Linked DNA regions of Mytilus edulis. The protein of the gene in region 1 interacts with the protein of each later gene in a pairwise test. Links are inferred from orthologs where the notes say so. Each region holds a gene or a part of one and is shown in the gene's direction. Other genes may lie near its edges.

Region 1 (8,141 bases):
CATTTCCCTCGTTTAAAACCCGGATTTGCTTTCTATCGATCGATTTATGTATTGAACAGCGGTTTATTACTGTATTATGTTTCCTTTTATGTATCGATGCATCCAACATAGGTATCAAACTTTGAGTTTTTAATTAGAAGACATCATGCAAAAAGTGAAGTAAAGGAATAATCTTAGCTCCTTTTTTCTATTCTTTCTATGAAGCTCGTGTATAAAGTCTGCTTCATATCAATTACACAAGTGGGCAAAAAACGAACACAGTTGGTTATCATACTGTCTTAAACTTCTATTATCAATATTGAAGTTTGGTATGGCAAAAGTGTACAGGGTACAGAAGTCAAATGTACTCCTTGGAGTCCGGTACATAAATAAGGCCGTTAGTTTTCTCGTTTGAGTTGTTTTACATTGTCATTTCGGGGCCTCCTATAGCTGACTATGCGGTATGGACTTTGCTCATTGTTGAAGGCCATACGGTGACCTATAGTTGTTAATTTCTGTGTCATTTTGGTTTCTTGTAGAGAGTTGTCTCATTGGCAATCATACCACATCTTTTTTATATCCTATAGATCTTGGAATTAGTATCAGCTTCTGATTGACACCTTCCCAGGGAGATGGTAGTTTCATAGTAATTTTAAAATCTGTCTTTAATTGATAAGTAAATTGATGTTGATAGTTTTGAAAGAGGTTTTGTGAAACAATTGGCAGATCAACAAATGTGACGTTGTATGAAGGACATGCATTTAATTTTGGCGTCCAGTATAGTGAAGGAGGATCCAGTTCTAGTACTATACAGTTGCGTTACCAAATATAGGTTGAGTCTGACAGTGAACACTGTTGTGACAATACATATATTGTAATCAAACAAGTGTTTTTTGTTTCGTCTCCATAACTCTGTTCCTTGTCCTTGACTCAGTATAAGGAGAACTTTTCATTTCTGAAAAAGATTGGCTGTAAAATTATCGAAAGCTAGGATTCATTAATGTTTTGGCTTTTTTCCCTTGGTTCATTGACCAACGGAACTTTCTCTATATGTAGTAAGACCTTGGTCCCATATATGTTCAGTGTTTAGTAATAATCAGTTCATTGGACATTTTCACATGTCATCTTTTTCCATTTTTTTTTTATTATCAGCTTTTTAATTTTGAACTTTCCGTTTCTATATTGCATGCCTGCAATAGGATAATTATCTCCCTGTTGAAACGATATTCCAGAGCTTTCATTTCTTAATATGATTTGTTTGATGGAGGATTGCTGTTAACCGATGGTCCCAAGTCAAGTGGTGAAGTTGAAGTTGAAGTATCTCATTGACAATTTCTAGGAAGCCATGACCAGTCGATTGGTTGTTATTGAAAAAAATTTTGTCTCTCTCTTGGCATACTTACAGTTTCCTTTGTTTGACAACACCTTCCTCAATTTAAAGTTGTATCGATAAGAGACTTAGTATGGCGTTCATTATCACTGGACTAGTATATATTTGTTGATTAACAGCTGAAGGACGCCTCCGGTGCGGGAATTTCTCGCTACATTGAAGACCTGTTGGTGACCCTCTGCTGTTGTTTTTTATTTGATCGGGTTGATGTCTCTTTGACACATTCCCCATTTCCATTCTCAATTTTATTATTTCTTTTTGACTTGGCCAAAACTTTTCAAGCGAATGTGAATGGATCTGCACCTTGCTTAACAAAATTATGTCGTAGCCTTGGTCGAGTATTTTAGAGATGGAGACACGAGTTCAATAACAAAATTGAAATTTATTTATTTCGGAGAAAATGTGTTGCGTTACAATATTGGTATCAGTAGTTGCAGATTTAGTGAAAATTATCATGGTTAAATGTTAAGAAATGTATATATTCTATCAATATGTTGAACGTTGAATCGTTGTGACACTAAATGGTCCACCTTCCTACGACAAAAACACTCTTTCAATGCTTAATTTCACAACTAGTTAATAAATAAAAAGTGCATACTACTTTATTGCAGATAATTCGATATCACCAATAAGTTGTTATATCAATGGAAGTTAACCGGGTTCAATACGGCTTTGGTACATGTTTATCGTCGAAAATCGTACGTTTTTCAACTTGTGGTAATGGATTGCTGTCTTGTCTCATTTCTATTTATTTGTCTTTACTCTATGCAATTACAGCACGATCTACTTGGATAACCTACATAGACCATTACCATCGACGATTCCTTTTAAGTTGCCTTCTGGTTTGTTGAATGCATGACACTTTTCTTTACCGCAAACTGCTATGGTGTACAATTTTTTGCTAATGAAACCCTACAACATAATCATTTCAGAGACTGATCTATTTGTTGCTATACACTTTTTCTAGACTTTGAAACTTATTTTGTTTCTGTAAAGTTAACAAAATATGGTACCCGTTGTGTGTAATCAATTCTTTAACTGTTTTCATCCCAGCTCTCTGAAACTGCAACAAGAGATTCCTAACATACTGAATATGTGCACCTGCAATGTGCATTCATTTGAGCTTTTTATCCAACCTTCGGAAATTGGATACGACTTGAATCCATTATCTTTCAAAGTTTTAGAAAAACACTAAGGACAATGGTAACAATGTTTGATTAAATCAACTTCATGGAAAGTGGTCATCTTTCACTACAGAAAAATCTTTGTCGGTTTGGACGGTTCAAAACCGGCTTTAGGTATGGTGATTTTTCGTGGTCTGTGGAAAGTATGTATCCAATTTGTGAAATCAAATCCTACAGCAATCAACCTATATATTCTTAAATGTGCACCTGCTATTATATTACTCTAATATATTGTTTGAGTAATGTTGTATCTCGTTTTTACACATTGGGAACTTTGACTTTTTCTGTAAAAATTACAGAAGACGGTTCAAGTTTAGTGTAATAAACTCCTATATAAAGGCAACAGTAGTATACCGCTAGTGTCCAATTCAAATTTCTAAAACTTCACAGGGAGATTATTTATATTTTGCAGGGTTCATCTGATATTATAGAATTGTTTGAGTAAATTATCTCATTTGACCAGCTTTTTTCAGCAATATTAATAAAAGAGGGTATATTTTTTGTGTAATCACCCGCTGCTACAGTTTTCAGCCCAGTTCACTGAAACATCTCCGGACGTTCATATGTGTTGGAAGTTGTACACCTGCAATAATGGAATTGTTTGAGTATTATTTTACTCATCATCCAGACTTTTTTAGAAAAAATTATGAAAAAGGAATAAGTTTTGTGTGTTATCAACTATAGTTTTCAATCCAAATCCTTGCATCTTTACAGGAAGATGGCACATATGTTGAAGGTGTGCACCTGATTTTACGGAATCGTCCGAGTGATTTTTCTCATTATTCCAGTAATTTTTTCAGGAAAAAATAAGTCACAAAAATATAGCAACCTTGTCATTTTACTTTTGTTCTTTTTACATTTTATGTAATATTGTTTTCATATATTTAAAAGAACAACTTAAGAATCATTCCTGGCAAAATGGCAAACCGGCAAAAATTTTTTAATCTTTGATTCATTTTAAAACTTAAGAGAAATTGAATTTTCGGAAGCCTCGATACAATTTACTTATCTTTTTTTCTCATTAGACTGAGATTTTGGGTTGTTGTCTCTCTTACGTTCATGTTGCATCTCCCTAAATCATATAACATTTTACATGCTTAAAACTTGTACCTTGATTTCAGTAGTGTTGAATTATTATTTAGTTATCCACTCTCTTTTACAGAAGCAAAAATCAGTTAGAAAGTGTTGAACATTTCTACCTTGCTTCAGTTGATTTTGGTTATCTTTTTTGTTTTCACTTGTGCTTTACCTTAATTTTCTTACAATTCCCATGTCCATAAAGAGCAAATATTTTAATAGCAAATAAAATAATTCACGTATTTACATTTGGAGATTTTCGTACAAGACCACTTCAGTTTTATACGGTCTTTTATAATCAATCTCTACAAAAACTAAGGGTTTGTTGTTTTCACGAGGTATTTAAAGATACGTCAGCGTGACAGCCCGCCCAGGTTGTACGGCAATACGACGTGTAATTTATTAGCATCTGTCATTTTAATTACATTAGTTTTAATGTAATATAGAAGGTCTCTGAATTAATTCGTAATATTGAACTAGAAGATCAACTGTAACACATTAGACAATTACACAATAGTTGATATGATTTGTAAAATTAAAAATAAAAATTCTGCCTTTTCATAAGAAATCTATTTGCTTTATATATCCGGTGGGCTTGATAATCACGATAATTCAGTAAGCAAAGATTTAGTTCATTAAACTACAAGTTTCTCTTTGTGTGACAAACTCACTGGCTTGTGACATTTGTAGTCGGTCTTACACAGCAATTAAGTACGGGATTCCTTCAGAAAATATGCCGTTTATTTAACGCTGTGGTAGTTCTCGCATCTTGTGTGGTCCGCGCACTGTGGTGAACTGTTGCTTAGCAACTAATGTAAGCTGCTGTTACTTGAGCAATCCTATTTAAATCTGGCCAATCCGATAACAGACAAACACGATATCATCTTGTCAGTCATTACGAGGAGGCGGAGCTTAACGCAAAATCGGGAGTCTTGAAGTTCGCAAAGAATGATATCGGATGTATGGAGCTTACAGTGTTTTGTTTGGATTTTATCTTCTATGAGGACTTCAGAATTATGAAGAAATTTTCTGATATAAAGATGTACTTACATGCATTTCAAACTGTGTGATAATAACATCGATGTTAATTAATAGTGTATAAACCGAACAACATTCCACGTGGGTTCGAATAGCATTCAAATGACATAGTTTATTTTGTGAATTCCCCCTTCAAAAACGGGAAATCATGAGTATTCGAAGGAGGGGCACTAATTCACAAATTGATGAGGATTTGTTAACGAGGACTAGTTTTGTGGATGCCAGGATAGCGTATAAACAAGTCAAAAAGGTATGTGAAGCGAGGCATCTCCATGACCTCATTTCTATCACAACTCTCTGTGAGTTCTTTTTCTGTAATAACATAACATGTTGTGTAGTTCATTAGTGGAGAAAAATTACATTTGTTAGAAGAAATTCCATGTATATTAAAACATTGTGAATTGATGTGTGTTTTAGCCTTAGGGTAATGTCATCTATTACAACATCACATAATAATGAAGTTAGATTTATCCATACTTTTTAGCATATTTTTTTGATGGCAAATAAGTCTAAGTTCCAGAATTTTAACTGTTATCTCATATGCATGTATGGTCCATATTTGTATGACAGAAAAATGCTTATCTTCATCCACTTTCAATATGTTTTTGTTTTCCCAATAGTTATAATTTGACCATCAATAAAGTGTACGTCTACATTTTCTTTTTGTATTTGCAGGGTAAAGCAGATGGGAATAAATGTGCGTTGTGGGTACGATGGCATCTGCAAAATTATATGTTCAGTATTGGTTGTTTCATACAATTACATTGTGGGAAAGTTTTGTTTATGGGATTACTATTGTTGTCGTTGTGTTGCATCGGATTCAAACTGGTCAAATTTGAAACTGATGTTGAAGCTCTTTGGGTAGAAGGTAAGTAATCGTGTTAAATGTGTATTTTCATCTTTATACATTCGTTAGGTATAATGTGAGGCAGTATATTCATTCACAAACAGCGCTTGAATTGATAAAAGCAAGTAAGCCGCCATCTTGTTTTGTGACCTAGAAATTTGATCTTGACTGTGTGTGGTCTCGTCTGTTATATTAGGAACGCTGAAATCATCAGAGATTGTTGACGGTTATAGTCGAACAATCGCACACTCACTGGTCATAAGTTTGATTATTCCCGCTCATTAAAGTCATTAGATTGGTTGTGATAAAATCGATAAACAAAGGACGTGATTACATCTACCTTGCAAATTATCAATATTCTCTAAACTGACTTTGGAGCATTTGTGTAATATCAGATTGGCACTCCTTTTTCAACAAGATTTGGTAACAAAAAAGTCAAATATTAATTACAAAAATAACAATAGTGCATTATCAGTTCATCTTAATCAGATATTTTGGTAACGAGATTACCGTTTTCTTGGGAGGTCTTCTGCATACGGGTTCTTAAGGCAAACCTCTAACCAAAGCAATTTTTCATGGGAAAACTGTACATCTAATTTTTGTATGCTTTAAACTTTATATTCTTACAATTTTTTTTTCTTGATTGAGCAATTTTAAAGTAATATCTGGAAATATAAAGAAAAATCTGAATGATATATTTACGTCACCTTTAGGGTCATACGTACTTTACTTAATAAAGTCCGAGATAGTGGTATGCTGAGAAAACAACTGGCTGTTTTAGAAAAGTTTTAAACAAATGCAGTTGGAAAGAAACTTTAATGTCATTCAGTATATTAAATTCCTGGTGGTCTATCACACATGGTTAAGAACATTTTAAGAGAATCTAAAAGGTAGTTTTATTTTTGTGTGTTTTATTCAATAGGGAAGAAGGACTGTCATTACCTTTTCAGTCTAAAACTGGTTTTGTTGTAAAACATTTAACAGCATGCAAAGAAAGATTTTTTGCTGATAGTAATATTTTACAACTGTTTTATGTTGAACACATCTTTCTAGTTAATAATAAAATCATAAAGCCAAAAGCATATAATAATTATATAGTAGTATACTTTGTAAACAACATATCCAGTGCATTATTTAGTGTTATACACAAAGTCTGTTCTTGCAATCTTTTTGATTAAAGTTTTGATGGCTTGGGCATGTGTGAGATATAAATTCTGCTTCAGTTGGAATACAAATATTTTTGTGTTATCATCTACAAATGAATTTTACACCAGAAATCAGAAATAACTTCAGAATTTCTTACATAATGTATCATCTGCAATAAAATTTCTGAATTAAAGCATATATTTTATTACGTTGGCTCATAGAGGAGTAGGTAAGAATTGTATGGTTTGAATGTTACATTTTATCAAAGGTATATTAATTATTTTAATTTACTCCAGGTTTCATTTATTTAATTAACTTTTTTTATTTTGCTAATAATTTGGGCGGATTAATTTAGCATGAATCCTTATTAGGTTTATATTGAAGTGTTTTTGTACTTCATTGTAGCTTTTTGTTATATGTATATGTAAATTGTAAATCTCATATTGAAAAGACATGAAATATTTGCTTCTAGACATTAATCCACCAACGATCAATCAATTAAAATGGAGATCAACCAGAAATTGGGGACATCTTTGAGCCAAAAATTTTAAATGTATGAATAAAAGAGTTTCTGTTGTGGTTTTGCATTTCCAGATTTGTTTTTTCTATCTCCCCTGTCAAGATCAGATAAAAAAGTGAAAGAAGGTTTTAAGATCATCTGAAGTGATATAAATAGTGAATGTTGTTTGACCTGGATTCCACTGATAATTTGACAATTTTAATTTGTGTGCTAGTATTTCACATGATGGAGGTTTTTTATGGCTGAATGAATCAAATACTTTGTATTCTACCTAGGTCATTGATAGTGTGACCAACTTTTGATAATGAATACCAATTTTCTTTCCAAGGGATGAAATCTTAACTTTAAATGAAAGAGGAGATATTATTTGTGTCATGTTGAATAGGCTTATGGACTCATGGAGGGAAAAGATTTCCCGTAATTACACATAATAAAGGTGTCTTAAATACACAGTTTATTTTATATAAATTTTATTTTAGTAAAAAATGTCCCTGTTTACATAAAAATTGCTGTTTACAGAAGATTCATCTTGATTGGCAAAAAGGGTGTTTTATTTTGTTCAGTACAATTTATTTGCAAGAAATGTTGACAAGAAATGAGATAGACAAAAGATTTGTTTTCTTCTTGTTTTGAATGATTTTCATTTTTGTATATTAGTGTGTATGAAATAAATTCGTGTCATGCCCACTAAATTGAGTGAAAGTCTGAAGTAAACCAGGAAAATGAATGAATTCCTATGCAACAAATGTTAATGAATTGGTTTTCTTCAAATTGTTACAGATATATTATCCCTTTTTTCTAGGTCTTTCTAAAGGTTTTGTCCATTAGACATTTTATACATATAATCCCATGGAGGAATCCAAGGGGTATAGAGGATGTACTCCCCCGTTCCCCAAGTTTTTTTTTTTTCATTTTATCTATAATTTTTTTTTTTATTAAATGTTCACAAATGTTTAATAT
Region 2 (8,494 bases), on another chromosome or scaffold:
ATGAGCAAAGCCCATACCATATAGTCAGTCATCAAAGGCCCCGAAATGACACTGTAAAACAATTCAAACGAGAAAACTGACGGCCTTATCAATGAGAAAAAGAAAAAAAGAAATAACGAAAAACAGATATATGTAACACAGCAACAAACGGCAACGCGTTTAAACATGTAAGCAGGACCAACCCACCCTAACCTGGGACAGTGTAGATTTGTTTTTATTTAATATGAAATCAACTTCACTCTCACGTTCATCGGTTTCTTTTTATATTGTCAGCACTGAATGACGTATGCGCCGAGGGAAAAGATTTTTTTGTAGGTGAGTCTAGGAACAATGCAGATGTTCTTTGGTGGGTCAACTGTTTGGCAATATCTAAGTTAAAAAAAATTGAAATCACATTTCTAGATGATTAGGCTATAGAAAAGTGTTTTTCTTTGCTTTTCATTTTCCAGATATTTTCTTATCTAAATTAATAATTCTTAATCAAGTTAAACTGTCCCAATCAGTAATCAGATTTAAAGTAATTTATTAATTAAAATGAATAAGCAGCAATACATAGTAGTTTAACTGAAAAATCCCAAGATATCTGAGCGAATACTTAAAGGGGAAGCTGTCAAATTCGTGTTCACCAATTTGATTTGAATTGTCATATTTGATTTAAAACACTGTAAAACATCTATTAAAAAAATCAAAAGTCTGAAATAAACAACTAACAACACATGGGCTCGATAATATGTTGCTTCGTTTCGTGTGTTTTTTTTTAATCTAGACGACAAACAAGAGATATGAACATAAATATAGATAGATCATAGTAAGCGAAATCGTGTTATTGGATTTTTCTAGGTCTATTTAATTTCCTCAGTATTATGGATTCAAAACATGTTAATCATCGTTTTTACCTGTCTAAAAATGTTTTTTTTTTATGATCGAATCAGTCAATCAAATGATTTCTATTTGTTTCACTTTTAGAGTTGACATTCTTTTCCTTTTTAAAAATAACTGTCCACGCCACACGATTCATGCGTTATAGTTAAAGCCGTTAATTTGATAGAAGTTCATATGAAAACGGATTCAATGAGGTCGAATTATTCACTTGCAAGTGAATAATTCATCATCAATGTTTCTTAGCTTCTTTTGACAAAATTGAACCGTATTTGCTGCGAAAAGCGAATTATTATTTCACTATTTTACTTTCATTGATGATTGAACAATATCACATCATTTTAGATTTTTATTTATCTCGTAGCTATAGGCCTATGCATCTTATCGCTGTTTGACTGTCATTATTGGTCATCACAAGGGTACATTAAAATGTTGACGTCATTATAATACAAATTATCTGACACCATAGTAGAAAAGTGATTGTTGCATGACGTCAATATTTCAAGCGGCACGGGATCTCGGGTCACTGCGGCCGGGAATAGCGATAAGGTGTATATTATCTTACATAGTCTTCTTACATAGTCTGTAACTGAGCGCTGGATCACTCCACTATGCTCAGATCTTCAGTTATTTGCTGACTTGTTTCGGTTCCGGTTCCTGTGTCAGCTTTTGCTCTATAGTTATATTTCATTTCACTATTTGTCCAATATTTATCTAGGCGGCTTTCAAATGTCTGAATAGTTGGTGCATTTACAACGCTGCTGGGTAAGCTGTTCCATATTGGTGCAATTTGTTGTGTGAAGAAGTTGGATCTTATGTTTTTGTTGCATCTTTGGATGGTCAGTTTTTTGTTGTGTCCTCTAGTAGCAGAAGTGGTGTTATATGTGAGTAGGTTAGGTAACGCTTCGTCATATATTCCCGATGTTAATTTGTAAGCTTCTATCATATCACCTCTCATTCGTCTGTATTTAAGTGTTGGTAACTTAAGCTTCTTCAACCGTTGTTCGTACTCTAGATCTTTCAATGTTGGTATCAATTTTGTTGCTCGCCTTTGAACATTTTCAAGTGCTGTTATATCTTTAACTTTGAATGGGCTCCATATAGCATTGGCATATTCGAGGTTTGGTCTTGCTAGTGCTTTATAAAGTAATAAGAACATTTCCTCATTGAGGCAGGTAAATGTCCTTCTAATTAGTCCCATAATACTATTGGCCTTATTTATTTTTTCATTCATATGTTGTTCGAAATTTAGTTTGTTATCAATGGTTACTCCTATGTCTTTTTCTTTGTCAACATGTTCTAGTGTGGTGTTACACAGGTTGTATTTATGGTTGTTATCATGTTGTTTCCCTGTTGTTAGGACTTTACATTTATCTGGGTGAAATCTTAGCAACCAAGTATTTGACCAAGATTCTAGATGAGATAAGTCTGTTTGAAGTGCATCACTATCATCTGTTGTTTGTATTTGTCGAAAGACTTTGGTATCGTCAGCAAACATGTAGCAATCTGAGTCAAGCATTTCTGGTAGATCATTAATGTAGATGACAAACAATATTGGACCCAGTATACTGCCTTGAGGGATGCCGCTTGTTACTTGTTTGAATTCTGAGTAGCTACCGTTGACACGTACTTGTTGTTTTCTACCACTAAGGAATGATGTTACCCATGATATTATCTCTTCTGATATTCCGTAACTCTTTAATTTTCCAATCAGTCGTTTGTGGAGGACAGTATCAAATGCCTTCATGAAATCAAGGTATATAGTATCTATGGAACCTCCATTATCCAGAATTTTAGTCCATTTTTCAAGAACATGGAGTAGCTGTAATGTAGTCGACCTTCCTGATAAAAATCCGAACTGGTAATCACTAAATAGTTTATTTAGCCTCATGTGTGACACCATATGGTCTCTAACAAATGTTTCTAGGAGTTTGCAAAGTATGCACGTTAAGCTTACTGGCCTGTAGTTTGATGCCTGTTTTCGGTTGCCCTTCTTGAATATGGCTGAAATACATCCTTCTTTCCAGTCTTGAGGTATAGTTTTTTCTTTCAGCGACGTATTGAAAATTATGGTTATTGGAGTTGATAGTGCATCACACACGTCATGTAATAATCTAGGATGAATATTATCGGGTCCTTGTGATTTATTTATGTTCAGGTTTTTCAGGCGTTTTTGAACATTCTCCTGTTTAACTACGAGATAATTCATGGCTTCCTTTACGGTTTGTCCTTGAAGTTTTGGTATGTCTCCATCGTCCTCCTTTGTAAAGACGCTGGCAAAGAAACTCGAAAGTGTTTCTGCCTTTTCTTTGTCGTTGGTTGTTAGTACATCATTACCATCTTGTGTATTCATGACGAGATCGGATATTCCAGTTCTAGTTTTAGTTTTTGATTTTACGTAATGCCAGAATTTTTTCGGGTTATTTTTTACTTGCTTGGCAATTTCTTTCTCTTTCATCTTGACTGCTTTTCTGGTAAGTTTCTTTACCTTGTTTCTGGTTTTACAGAATTCTCTATATTTTTCGCTACTTTTTGTTTCCATATACCTTGTCCAGCATCTGTGTTTTTTCCTTATTGCTTTCAATGTTTCTTGGTTGAGACCTACAGCTTTATTTTTTTTTGCTCGATTGTCCCATCTTCAAAAATACCAGTCACTTCAGGCGTGCCACAGGGTACAGTGCTAGGACCCATACTCTTCCTTATTTACATAAATGACCTTCCGGAATACTTCAAACACAGCAAAATCAGACTCTTCGCAGACGACAGCATAATTTACAGACAAATTAAATCTCAAAACGACTGCCTCATGCTTCAGGAAGATCTAGAAGCCGCCATACAATGGGAGCAAGACTGGCTCATGTCTTTCCACCCAGACAAATGCAACATAATGAACATAACAACAAAGAGAACTCCCATCCACTTCTATTACAACATGTATGGGCACATATTAGAATCAGTAAAACATGCTAAGTACTTAGGTATCACAATTTCTTCAGATTTAAAATGGAACACCCACATTCAACAAACAGCTGCCAAAGCAAACAAATCTTTATGTTTTATAAGAAGAAATCTCAAAGTCCAGTCACAAAAAATTAAAGAAAGAGCATACCAAACCATCATAAGACCTAAATTAGAATACTGCTGTACTGTATAGGACCCCTATACAAGTGAAAACATACGATCACTAGAAAAAGTACAGAGAAGAGCGGCAAGGTATGCATGTAACAGACATCACAACACCAGCAGTGTGTCTGATATGCTAGACACTATGAAATGGCAAACATTACAAGAACGCCGGCTAAGAACAAGGCTAATAATGTTTCACAAAATTACAAACGAAAATATTGCCATTCCTTCACAAAATTTATTACAGAAGAGTCAGTCCGTCACAAGATCCACCAACAAAGATGCTTACAGACAAATCCAATGTAACAAGGACAGCTACAAATTTTCTTTCTTTTGTCAAACAATTAAAGACTGGAACAAATTGTCCTCAGTCATAACAAAAAACACCACCACAGAAACCTTCAAGGATGCACTCACGCACGATGTGCTCCTTGATACATATCCACACCTGAAGTAATCAGGCAATCATGTTTTTATCTTAAATTAAAAAATAAAAAATAAAAAATGTAATATCCAAAAAATCTAAATAAAAACGAAAAATCTAAAAACAAAGAAAAAATTGTAAAAATTGATAATAAAAATATAACAAATATATACAAAAATATGGAATACATATATGTTAAACTATATTTATAAATACATAAATTTGAAAAATTATACCAGGCATGCGCCGGAAAGTAAACATCAGTATGTTGATGGTTTTCTGAAACTAAAGAAGAAGAAGATCTTTTTATGTGGTATGTATTTACTTTGGAGTTCCAAGAGTTTGTCTTTAAAAAATATCCATTGTTCATTTGTTGACTTCTCTTTCATTATGTTGTACCAGTCTATATACACCTTATCGCTATTCCCGGCTGACCCGTCCGCTTGAACTTTTGACGTCAACAACAATCACTTTTCCATTGTGGCGTCAGACATTTTGTTTTATGACGTCAAAATTTTACGGGAACCTGTGTGATTTCCAGCAATGGCGGACAAATAGCGATAAGGTGTATTGCTCAGAGTGCCCCTTTAACCAACAAATTCAATCGTAGATTATTTATTAAAACTATTTACAACGTATATATCTAGGGAAAATATATCAATGCATTATTTGATACCTATTAAACGTGTCGTCGGTCATAGCAAGTGTGCGTCACATGTGATTATGGTATTACGTCAGCGTAGTATTGCGAAGTACTTTATTGCAGGTATTTGGTCATTTTGAAATATCCGGGATGTGGTCGATTGCGATTGCGCATCTAATACAGTAAAAACATCAACACAACTTGTGCTGTAATTTTATCCAAGTTTGTTGATTTGATAGTGAATGGCACAATTTACCAGAACTTATGGGTTGCAGGAGCGATCAGTAAGTTTTTATCAGTTGAAGCCGAGAAGTTGAAAATGCTTGAATCGATGTCACCACATGATTTTCTCTAAAAAATATATAAACAGTGATACGATGATCGAAAACTGTAAAATGGGAGGGTGCTTAGCCAGGCGTCAAACGGTCATTTATTGCTACCGTTAGCGTCAAATTGAATAAAATTTAACGGGGATTCGTCAAAATTTCTTTTAGTTCGTGGTGTCTGCTGTAAGTTATGAAGAAGCAGGCTAAATTTCTAAAGAAGCCTTCAAGTAAATGTGGAAGGATCAGCAGTCCACGGGGACTAGCTAGCTATTTGCTCCATCAGCCAAGTTTTTGGGGAACTGTTGTCCGCAAGATCATTGTCCCCTCCAGCTTGCCGTTTGCTGAAAAAACTTTGTATGTCCATAAAGTTCAATGTTTACAGCTGACTATTAAAGTATCGACCACATTTTCTTAGGGAAGCAATCCTTTCACTTCCCCCACCTCAAGAGTCATCATACCATTTTGACTCTCACACAAGCATACCCTACACTGTAGCTAGAATTCCTCTCTAACAATCCATGCCCATGTTTTTTTTATTTAGGCGCCAATGTAACTGAAGAGCATGAATTTCGTTACAAAATTGCTTGTCTCCACTAGGGCCTCAACCCTTGGACTTCTGTCACAAGGCAGTTCAATGTTTACAGCTGACTATTAAAGTATCGACCACATTTTCTAAGGGAAGCAATCCTTTCACTTCCCCCACCTCAAGAGTCATCATACCATTTTGACTCTCACACAAGCATACCCTACACTGTAGCTAGAATTCCTCTCTAACAACCATGCCCATGTTTTTTTTATTATGGGGCCAATGTAACTGAAGAGCATGAATTTCGTTACAAAATTGCTTGTCTCCACTAGGGGTGCTATAAACAGTTTCGTATAAAAAACTAGGGGTTATTCCGCAACTAAAAATAACCATGGAGGGAAACCCCTGTTTATTTACTCAATTGGTGAAAAAGTATCATGTTTTTTGTATTTGATTGTAAAAATTAGTTAATTAGCTTTCAATTAAAACAGGTTGAATGATTGAAATAATTTAAAAAATTATATTAACTTTACATGTTTTGAGGGGAGACAACACTGTAAACATCCTATTTTTTTGGCAGTGAAAATTGAAAACTTATTTGCAGCCACTGTAGCTCTTTTCGGAGCGGGAAACCGTACCCTGAAACAAGATTTTTTTGAAAGGCCAGGTAAAAACCTACAAATTTCATACAGTTTTGATTAGGTAAAATGTGCATGGATCTGGCTTCATGGGTGTGCACATGACTGGTTTCAAGTTTTTTATGTTCAAATTAGACCTTTTTTTCCCCATGTTCATTGGATGGAATATTTTTAATATATTTAAAGTACACATTATTTTTATTTCATCATAAACTAGAGAACATTCTGATTCCAGTGATATCTAGTTTTGTACAAGTATCTTTATTAATCAGTCCACCACTAAGGGTCACTTATGCATGGTCCCTCAAAATGTGACGTCATAGAAAAAAACTGTTGATTGCACCCTAGGGCCTCAACCCTTGGACTTCTGTCACAAGGCAGGGCGTTTACCTACTGAGCTAAAGAAGTACCTTTTGAGCTAAAGAAGTACTTCCTTAGCTCAACCACTTATGGCTGACAAAGTATCTACCACATTTTCTAAGGGAAACACTGTCATAAAATTAACGTTAACATGGTTAATGTTATTTTTGGAGAAAAAAATTAACATGATTGGTCTTAGTCATTAGTTATTTTTATTTTCTTAAAGATAATGCACATTTTTTATTGTCATGCACCTAAAATTGCTGTTAACGTCATTTGGCAAGAATTTTTACCATTGTTGGTCCTGAAGGTACTCCCATGTTATCATATGTTATCACCCCACTTGACCAGAGAATCTGCACCTCTTCAGGCTCTTGAACTAATGATGTTAAACAACAATCAACTTTCCATTGTGGCATTAGATATTTTCTATTATAGTATAATTCATTATGATACTTATTCTGATTGGCTAACTGCACATCACATGTTATTTCGTAAGCAATTGCATTGCTCAATAAAACTTTTCATTCATGATAACACGTGGTCCCACAATAAAGTGCACAGGTAAATTAAATAAAACAATAATGAAATTTGTGTTTTCAGGATCATTGCTAAAAAAATGTAATCATAAGCATTGAATGCTTCTTTTTGTAACTTCATAGGATTGTAAAAGCGCTGACCGTGTGCACATTTTTAGTAGCGCTTCATACAAAATGTACTTCGGTCAACGCTTTTAAACCCCAATGAAGTTACAAAAAGAAGCATTCAATTCTTAAGGAAAAATTTACTGAAAACTTTGTGATGTAAATCATGTTCAGTAATGACAAACAAATAGGGCTAAAATGTATATGAAGCAGGTGCTACCTGATGTTATTGGGTTTGTTGCTATTGAAGGTTAAAATTTAGTACATTATTGTTTATTTTGTACCCACCGTAGAAGAGGGGGGCTTTACGTTTTACCCTTGTTAGTCTAATAGTCCAAAATTGGTTCTGTTCTGTTAAGTTTTTTCTCAACTGAATGTTATGAAACTGTAAGTTAATAACACAATGCTTATTACCACAATTTGTATCAAAACACAGATTAAGTTTCAATTTTGATGAGGTCATATTAACCGTTCCAGAGTTATGTCCCTTTACAAATGGAAAAAGTGCTAAATTTTTGGGGAAGACGGCTTCAAGCCGTGAATCCCCAATGGGGTTGACCAGAGTGACATTCCCTCACATCATTCATTTTGTTTTTATAGCGTGGAAAACCCCCCCAACAAATCTTACTGAGAATGATGAGATGGTGAGACACAAATGAATAAATTGACTTTAAACACTTTTTTACACATTTCCCTTCTGTTTTTCTCGAAATTATCGTATATTGAGCTCTCCTTTACACTATTTAGGTTTCTTTTACAATCCGGAAAAATCAGTATGACGAGATATTCTAAATATATCCAACCTACATTATATTTTATAGTGACGTCATTGTTGGAATGCCACACTACGCATAAGCAGGGATATCCTTCACTGGTTATTTAAATCATTCTCAAAGATTGTGCACTTATTAAAAAATAGTATTTGTTA

The links. The genes of interacting proteins can lie anywhere in the genome.
Region 2: the proteins of protein patched homolog 1-like (region 1) and E3 ubiquitin-protein ligase NEDD4-like interact in a two-hybrid assay, tested with the Drosophila melanogaster proteins (2 studies listed by BioGRID). The link is inferred for Mytilus edulis from reciprocal best matches to the Drosophila melanogaster genes ptc and Nedd4.

The regions. Positions count from the first base shown.
Region 1 is NC_092344.1:121,131,525-121,139,665, reverse strand, and holds the start of protein patched homolog 1-like, read left to right. Parts: upstream 1-4,524; 5' UTR 4,525-4,816; coding exon 4,817-4,918; intron 4,919-5,343; coding exon 5,344-5,536; intron 5,537-8,141. UniProt on the Drosophila melanogaster protein: Segmentation polarity protein. Acts as a receptor for the hedgehog protein (hh). Associates with the smoothened protein (SMO) to transduce the hedgehog signal leading to the activation of wingless, decapentaplegic and patched itself.
Region 2 is NC_092347.1:25,258,725-25,267,218, forward strand, and holds the start of E3 ubiquitin-protein ligase NEDD4-like, read left to right. Parts: upstream 1-5,216; 5' UTR 5,217-5,314; coding exon 5,315-5,356; intron 5,357-8,494. UniProt on the Drosophila melanogaster protein: Essential E3 ubiquitin-protein ligase which accepts ubiquitin from an E2 ubiquitin-conjugating enzyme in the form of a thioester and then directly transfers the ubiquitin to targeted substrates.